2 linked regions of the Caenorhabditis elegans genome follow. The protein of the gene in region 2 purifies or fractionates together with the protein of the main gene of each other region. This does not show direct contact. Each region holds a gene or a part of one and is shown on either strand. Other genes may lie near its edges. The genes, in order: pqn-15 and pfd-5.

Region 1 (5,110 bases), on a different chromosome or scaffold from region 2:
TGGTTGATTCATCATATTTTGCTGCTGCTGCTGATGTTGGATCGGAATGTTTTGCTGATTTTGCATTGGTGGCTGCTGATTTTGCCCCTGGTTGTTCGGTGGTCCATGCTGTTGTTGAAAACCTTCCTCTTGATGACCTCCCTGATGAACTTGTTGCATTGGTTGCCCTTGTTGGTTTGGCATTTTTTGCTGGTTTTGTTGTCTCTGCTGAGGAACAAGTTTGTACTGCATTCCATTAATAATCGCGTGCTCTCCATTGATTCTAATGGTTTGATCATTGTCCGGCTCAAAATTATCTGTAACCACCGGCTGCATCATCTGGCTTTGCATTGGCGGAGTCTGATGGTGCTGCAGATGTAAATTTGGCTGAGGTGATTCTTGCAGCGGCTGTTGGGACATTGGATCTTGTTGCATTTGTTGCATATTCATCATTTGATCAGGAATATTCTGAGGATTGTGAGGCCCTTGTTGCATGGATCTGTTTTGCTGCATTTGATGTTGTGGCTGCCGCTTTATGTTCGGGTGAATTTGCCTTCCCGGTTGCTGCATTTGAGGCATTTGTCTATCAGACTGCGGGTTACCCTGCATAGGTGGCTGATTTTGATGATGCTGCTGCTGCTGCTGTGGTGGTGCAAGATTCATTCTCATTTGTGGATTCTGCGGCGAGTTCTGCATGGATCCATGAATCGATTGGGATTGTTGCGGCGTCATTTGGCGTGGAGGTATCTGCATGTTCTGCGGCTGTTGTGCAACCTGGAATAACTATTTTCAACAGTTAAGTACTATTTGAGCATCAATTTGGTTACCTGGGCGACACGGACTGGCTGCTGTTGCTGCTGTTGGTGCGGCGGTGGTGGTCCATTCGTTTGTCCTTGCAGCATCTGAAATGAGTATGTCATGGTCATGCGTAAAATAGCGTTTTATGAAGAAGAGAATTTCCGCGAGAGTGGCAGGAAATAGTGTGCATATAACTATGGTGAGCTCATAAATATTCAGTTTTTCTGGTCTCCCAGTTTATTTTCTGGACTTGGTGATGATATGGAGAAAAATATCTTGAGTTTCTACTTCTTCAACAACTTTCGTTTTACTTGAACTTTTGGAAAAAAACATTTATAGTAACAATTCGAAACTATTTTGAAAGGTGAGCAAAAGGGGTTGTCAATTCATATGTACGACTTCCCTTTTGCGTTTTTTGTTGTGTGTTTTTTGAAGGGCTACGTTTTTTTTTTCAAAAATCGCTAATTACAACATACTGTATGTTTATTGCTATTATAATTGTATTTTTCAATCAATTTCTATGTATTTGTGACAAAATTGCCGTCTCCAATAGTTTTTTTTTTCAATTACCTGTGGTTCTTGCTGTTGAATCCGAATTTGCTGTTGTGGTGGCATGTTCATGTTCGGAGCATTTTGCTGCATTTGCTGATGCTGAAGAGGCTGCTGCTGATGAGGTGATCCGTTGTTCATATTTTGATTGTTTTGTTGAATTTGTTGCATTCTCATTTGCTGCTGCGGCGGCGTGTTCATACTCGATGGGCCTTGTTGTATCTGCAAAATGGGTTAAAGTTAGTTTTGAAGATCCATTTAAAGAGTATTACATAATGAGGCTGTGATGGAGGTCGGCTCATCATCCCGCCCTGCGGCTGCACCTGAAATTTTTTGCACTTAAATTTTTGAATGCGAAATTAGATTTAATTTGAAGAAAACAAAATAACATACGCCCATTTGTGAAGAAGGCCTATTCATCAGCTGAGGTCCGCCTTGTTGGTGCATCTAAAATTTATGAATTTAGGGCACATAATTAATTAAAAGCTCACCTGTTGCGAAGGTGGTCGGTTCATGCTCATCGGTCCACCACCTTGTTGCATCTGAAAAAAATTAAGTTGGCTTATGGTATATTATAACTCTCCATTGAGAACAATTTTTTTCAATAATGGTGTCTTAAAGCACACGTACCAATCCGGGAATTGACCGCAAATTTTTGAAAAAAATAGGAACTTCATAACTAAGTTAAGAAATTTTTGAACAAACTTTTGCGTATCGTAACTTTCATGTAACTGGTTGTTTTTTAATTTATTTTATGTTACATTTATTAAATACAATTTATCTCAAGTCTCATTTGTTTTTTGACAATTTTCACTGACCTGATGAGGTTGAGACGGCGGTCTGTTGATACTCTGTGGTCCACCTTGTTGCATCTGAAACTGTTCAAGCATTGTAAGCTTTTAATTGAAAGTTTCGCAAACCTGATGAGGATGAGATGGTGGTCCGTTCATGTTTTGTTGCTGTTGCATCTAAAAATTAAGAAAATAAATGTTTCGAATCAATTTCTCATTAATTTCATTTTGACTCTGATCTACAAGCGTACATGCCATTTTTCTCGTACTTTCAAGCTGAAAGTTTGGTAATTTTTTTTTTAAGCGTCCTATAAATTTTTATATTTTTGTGCTAATTTGTGACTCTGTATAATAGAGTATAATTTTTTCAGACTGTTTTTTTTAAAACAAATACTGACCTGCATTTGCTGTGGAGACACCTGCGGTATTCTCTGCTGCATTTGATTTTGTGCCTGTGGTATCCTCATTTGTTGCTGCGGATTCGGAAGATTTTGCTGCATATTCATATTGTTCGGAGCTCTCTGATGTTGTGACTGAGGAGAATTCATATTCGGTTGCTGTGGCTGCTGCTGCTGCATTCTCATTTGTGACATCTGAGGTGGTGGCTGCTGTGACTGTTGCATTGGCGGGCCTTGTTGGGGCATACCACGCATCTGCTGCGGAGGGTTCCCCCTCATCTGAATTTGTGATTGCTGAGGATTTTGCATCATTTGGGGAGCTTGATTTTGTGGAGGACGCATTTGCTGGCCCATGTTCATCATAAGATTCTGTGCAGGTTGCTGTTGCATTTGTTGAGGGCCTTGTTGTCCCTGCATGTTCACCATTTGTGATTGTCCTTGTGGAATTTTATTTTGTTGCATGGGTGGTCCACCTTGCTGTATGACCCGATGTGGACCAGGCGGCTGAATTTGGTGTGGTCGCTGCACATTGAGTAATTGTGGAGCAGCTTGATTGTGCTGCTGGTTGAGCATGACAACCTGGAAAAAATTTGGTTTTCTAAAGTTGTAAAGGGAGAAGTTAATTCGACAGATGGTACGGTACACAGATGGTACGGTGTAATAGACAAAAACCAGAATTTTTTTTAAAAATTTTGTAGAATTTATCGTATGTATTGTTTTCTTAAAAAATGGTTTGCTATGATTAAAATTGCTCTCAAATCTCATATTTCCGTCAAACTACTATAAAAATTAATATGAGCAAAAAAAAACTTTTTGTTTTTTGTTTTTTGATTTTTGGAATATGGCTACTACAAGCGCATTCACTAGAACTGTCTCTCACCTTACCTCCTCAACTGTTTTTGAGCGATCAATAGAATTGTGTGCGTGCGAGGTCGCCGAAAACCTAATTGCCGCGCAAATGCCCTTTCTCTTCACTAAACCGATATCTTGTAAGATATTAAGAAATAATTTTTTATTTGTTTTTTTTTTTCAAGTTTTGAAAAGTTGCAAATTATGAGAAAATAAAAATACTTACCCGAAAATTGAAGCGAAGGACGTCAAGATTACGTCCGGTAAATTGTAGCCTCACACGAAGAACACGATTGCCGACGGCCACCCACACGTGTGAAACGCGGAGCAAGTCCTCGTTTAACTGCAATTATTTAATAATTAATGAAAAATCGATTAAATGCTGCAAGAAGAAAGACAATGCGGAATTAAGAGGGAGACGCGCGCAGTTCAACTTGCACTAGACAAGTTGATTGACTGACGGGCTGGGTGGCCTCCCACCCTAAGGCCCCCACGTACGCAAACACCATCACGTCAAATTACACAGTGAGAAAACGGGATTCGTCAGGTTTATTAGTGTTTATACCATGAAAAGTAGCAACAAAAAACAGAAGTTGGAAAAATTGATAAAAAATCAATGAAGAAAACGGGACAACTTGAATTCGAACATATCATCAACTATTTCAACATTTTTGCTAAACTCTGTCTTCTGTTTTTTCCACGTCCAATTGTCTCTTTTGGAACAGAGCAGGACCTGCAAAAATCAATAGGGTCCAGTGAGAAGATGAGTGACTCAAGGGAAATGAATTTGTTTTCAATGTTTTTCGCTATTTTTTTTCCTATTTCTTGGCTAAATATAAAAAAGTGTTGAAAGTGTGAGTGGATGATTTATGACAAATGTCATACGCCTTGCCAACAAAGGAATGTTAACACATAGTGTGTATGTTTTATTTGCCTTTGCTTGTAATGCCATGTGCTTACATTTTTGTTTTTAAAGTATTCCAAATAGAAACAAGAGTTAAACTCGTTGGAAAATAGTTCAAAGATTTCTTTTTCTGATTTAATATTATCTTGAGTCACAAACACGTTCACTGCAAGAATTCCTGAAAAAAAAGCTTGGCTTTAAAATTTCAAAATACTGCTTACAAACCATTTAAGGTTAAACGTTTTTTCAAAAGTTGAACTGTTTTTATTTTCAGCGTCTCTGAGACTGGGCACATCACATTTGTCTTTTTGTTTTCACAGGCATCGACAATAATAACGTCATATTTTTTGTCATCTGAAATTACATTTTTTACTTTCAAATAAATTCTTTAAGTTTTCCGATTACATTTTCGTAAGTAATCCACAAAATCGGTGTTTATAATTCTCATCTCGTCCGTTTCAAAGTGATCGAAATAATTCTCCGCGATGTTGATTATAAACTCTTCTTTTTCAACAACAGTTGTATCAATCTGAAGTATGTAGTAAAAAGTTATATGTAAAACCGAAAATCTACCAACATTGAGGTAGGATATTTGAGAAAAGAAGTTGCTCATCACTCCACCACCAAGTCCGGCAATTAGAACATCTTGGTGATCGGATTCGTCGAAATTCAGGCTCTGAAATTTTTTCGAGGAATACATAAAGAAAAACTAAACAGAAAAAGAAATAACACTGCAAAAACAAAATAAATTAACACAAAATGTCTTTAAAGCCAGAGAAAAAAAACAAAATAAGTTAATAAGAAAAAAAAGGCAATCTGTTTTAAATATGAATTTAAGGATA
Region 2 (3,354 bases):
TTGGTCGTCTAAAATGCTGAAGAGCTGTGATAGCAGCGAGACAAGCACAATCAAGAAGACTTCCATCTTCGTCAAGAATTCGGACATCTACTCGAATTTTCCAAATTTCTTTTCCAGCGCGAATGCAGAGAGCCTGGAATTTATTTTTGTAATTTAAGTTCTCTACAGCTCAATTCACCTCAACATCAATACACCGAGAATCACGAATAATAAGCTCCAATAGACGAATCAGTTCCATTCCTTTGCTCCCGAGACGGTCATGCTCATTGGCTAAAAAAAGGATAATTGTTAATCAAAAATAGGAATCTAACCATAATTAGCCATTGGACTCAAATCAACGTCAATATTAATAACTCCTTTGTGTGGTCTCATTGACGATGGTTCAGCGATTTCGGCACTTACTGCAGCCATTACTCTGAAAATTCAAAATTTATGACTATAAATAATAAGGAAAAACTAACGAACTTTGTATTTCCAATAGTGCAAATTGCAGTTCCAACTTCTGCTCCGACCACTAACTTCACATCCCGAAATTCTTCCAGACTACGAAAATCAAATCTCTGAAAAAAAAATTAAAAATAAATCCAATGAAACCAGTTTACTTTTCCAATTTTCAGCGCCTCTAATATCACAGCCTTCTCGCAGTTTGTCACCGGTTGAACTCTCATTACTTCTGAAGTTAGATTTTAAAGTAATTATTTTTTCGAACTGTAAGTACTCAAGGCGTTTGAACGCGAACCACTAGCTAGAATACAAAAAAGAAGCAAGAAACATATTATTTTGAACAAGAATCAATGCAAGGTGTAGTATTAAAATCGAAAATTGATAACAACAATTTGAATATCGGAAAAGCAAGAGATTTTCAGAAGTAGATTTCTCGGCAGACATTTATTGTGTATTCATCGTGGCGAGTTGAGACTGAACCTTGGTCTGGAATGCGTCCGAAATATAGGCCCGAGTTCTTCGCTTCTCTTTCAGAATTCCCTCAACTGTCTCAACCTGATATAAATAAGATTAAATACTCAAGTAAGACACTTTCGATGTTCGTACCTGCTTTGTAATATGTTCCTTTTTACGGTCAAAAATTGCTTTGGCTTTCTCGCGGTCCAGCTCCACGAAGTATCCAGTTCCGATCTCCACCAAATGCTTTGATGGATCAGATAGTTCAGCACGGATGTAGAGCTGAATAATCATTAATTATTAAAAAAGTACAATGAAAATATACCGATTCAGAAAGTGGAATGAGAGCTGTATGTCCTGCAGTTGCAATTTTCACATCGTCCAAAGCAGAAATACTTTTTTCGTTCCGCGTTAAAAGACCCTGCAAATATTTTTATTAATTTGAAAAACAAATACGAAATTCAACAAACTTTAAGAGCATTGAAAGACTCCTGGAAGAAGTTTAATTCTTGTTCGCAATTCTTCTGGAGTTCTCCGAGTTGTTGCAAGCTGAGCTCTGACAGCGGTACTCCTTTCGGTTCTTCTGCCATTCTAAAATTATTTATAATTATTAAAGAAGAATATTTATAACAATCTTTATTGAAATTATGATCTAAAAATGGATAAAAGGATAATGAAAAAATAAGCATTAAAAATCGGTGAAATTTTCTCGAATTGAACCATTGGCCTAGAAAATTCAAATGTGCGCGGCCACGGCCACTGTTGGCGGTAATTCAAAAATAATATTTTAAGGAAGGACGAAAAGTAGATTTTTGCTCTATTCATCAAAATATATTGAAGGTGTTTTTTTTTTAGAAAAATTAATTGAATAATATTTTATGGAGATTCCAACCAATTAATACCGATTTTGTAACTTTTATTTGAAGACATTTAGCTCCAACACCAGACTTTTCTCCTTTGTTTCCCTGCAATGTTGTGTATCTTCTTGAGGGTATTCCCCGATTTCGCCTTCACTTTTTTATTTGTTGAATCATAAAAAAATTCCGGTGTATAATAAATTAGACTGGGATACTTTGAACTATTAGTTCGAAAATCAAACATCATTTGCAGTTTGGAACTTCTTGGCGGATCTGTTTCATTTGAAAAAGGCATAACTGAAATACAACATTTTTTGGAAAGGTAAAGCTACTACAACCCCTAGAATTCTATAAACTCACAAAGATCCCTTCATAAAATTGTTTCCTTTTTATAGACGAATCTTCTCGAAGTGGAAAAGTTGTTTTGAACCTTCAAAGATATCACTTTCATCTCCTTATCATTCAATTTCCTTTTCTCTAATCTCTCTAATTTTTCCAATTATGTCTCAAAATGATAACGTGAAAGAGACTTTCAAAAGTCATCTTCTTTCTATTCTTTAAAGATTTTCTAACACCAGTTCTCATATCAAATTCTCTATTTTTAGAGACTTATCAATCAATTAGATAAAGATAGAAATGACGTTGATCACATCTCTAAAGGTTATAAGCTCCGCCTATTGTTTTTAAGAAAAGTACAGAGATTTTCATGTGATATTTGACATATAAAACTGTAAATATGTATACATGAATCCACGTGAAAGTCTTTAGAAACATTTCCTTGTTTCAAAAATGATCTTTGAATCTGACCGTACTTCTTGTACTTTTTGAATTTGATCTATAAGTTACCGTAATCAAGATAGGATTTGATAGACCGGAAGTTGCTTCAAAAAGAAGACTTTGATTTATATTTATTTGTTTCTTTTAAAATTCATTCTCTGATCTTTTGTATTCGCTAGAACTCCGTCCAGATCTGAACTTTGCAAACCCTTACTAGGTAATTGCTCTTGTACTTGTCCTTACCAAAATTGCACTCTCATGTGTGACGTCACAACTTTTCCAACTGTAGTTTCATGAAATTAAATCCCTCACGTTCGTTTTTTTAACTTTTCACAAAAAGCAATCCCTGTTTACTATTGTATTCAGTCATCACACCTCTTATTAATATGTCTATATTATGATAACAATACCAATTTTTTGTTTTTCCGTCTGGAACAGGTTGCTACACTTATTTTGAAAAGTGACGAATGATCTGATCAGTGAGGTTGGATTACGGTATCAATGACCATTATGTTGAGAACTTTCGGTCTCTTCTGCTAACAAAAAGTGGCCTAAAAGATTGAATATGGCCTCCAAAGGTGTCATTGTTTTATTGATACAGTTATCAATTAATCTTTAGTATCAGAAGTTACTGTAGTTTTATCAGAAGTTTCAGTTTTTCCTGACCTAAAGTGACAGATGTTCTGATCCCTATTGTTCTCAGCTGACTGATTGTTTTGTAGAAATAATTGTTATGTTTCTCAAGATGATCAATATGCAACGTCAACAAAAATATGTGAGAATTATGTTTTAATTTGGATCTTAGAATGTTCACTTTCTG

What was found.
Region 1: the proteins of pfd-5 (region 2) and pqn-15 fractionate together in Caenorhabditis elegans (co-fractionation; one large-scale study listed by BioGRID). This does not show direct contact.

The regions. Positions count from the first base shown.
Region 1 is NC_003284.9:4,303,874-4,308,983, forward strand, and holds the start of pqn-15 (Prion-like-(Q/N-rich)-domain-bearing protein), read right to left. Parts: upstream 3,089-5,110; coding exon 2,516-3,088; intron 2,295-2,515; coding exon 2,247-2,294; intron 2,199-2,246; coding exon 2,145-2,198; intron 1,869-2,144; coding exon 1,818-1,868; intron 1,774-1,817; coding exon 1,720-1,773; intron 1,650-1,719; coding exon 1,599-1,649; intron 1,549-1,598; coding exon 1,348-1,548; intron 882-1,347; coding exon 807-881; intron 754-806; coding exon 1-753. Other genes in the region: C52B9.8 (Methyltransferase-like protein 13), read right to left, coding at 3,978-4,097, 4,325-4,446, 4,494-4,622, 4,674-4,797, 4,846-4,944.
Region 2 is NC_003281.10:7,197,394-7,200,747, forward strand, and holds pfd-5 (putative prefoldin subunit 5), read right to left. Parts: upstream 1,492-3,354; 5' UTR 1,491-1,491; coding exon 1,371-1,490; intron 1,322-1,370; coding exon 1,226-1,321; intron 1,183-1,225; coding exon 1,051-1,182; intron 1,000-1,050; coding exon 889-999; 3' UTR 758-888; downstream 1-757. Other genes in the region: exos-9 (Exosome complex component RRP45), read right to left, coding at 1-133, 179-270, 312-415, 466-560, 603-668. UniProt on the Caenorhabditis elegans protein: Binds specifically to cytosolic chaperonin (c-CPN) and transfers target proteins to it. Binds to nascent polypeptide chain and promotes folding in an environment in which there are many competing pathways for nonnative proteins.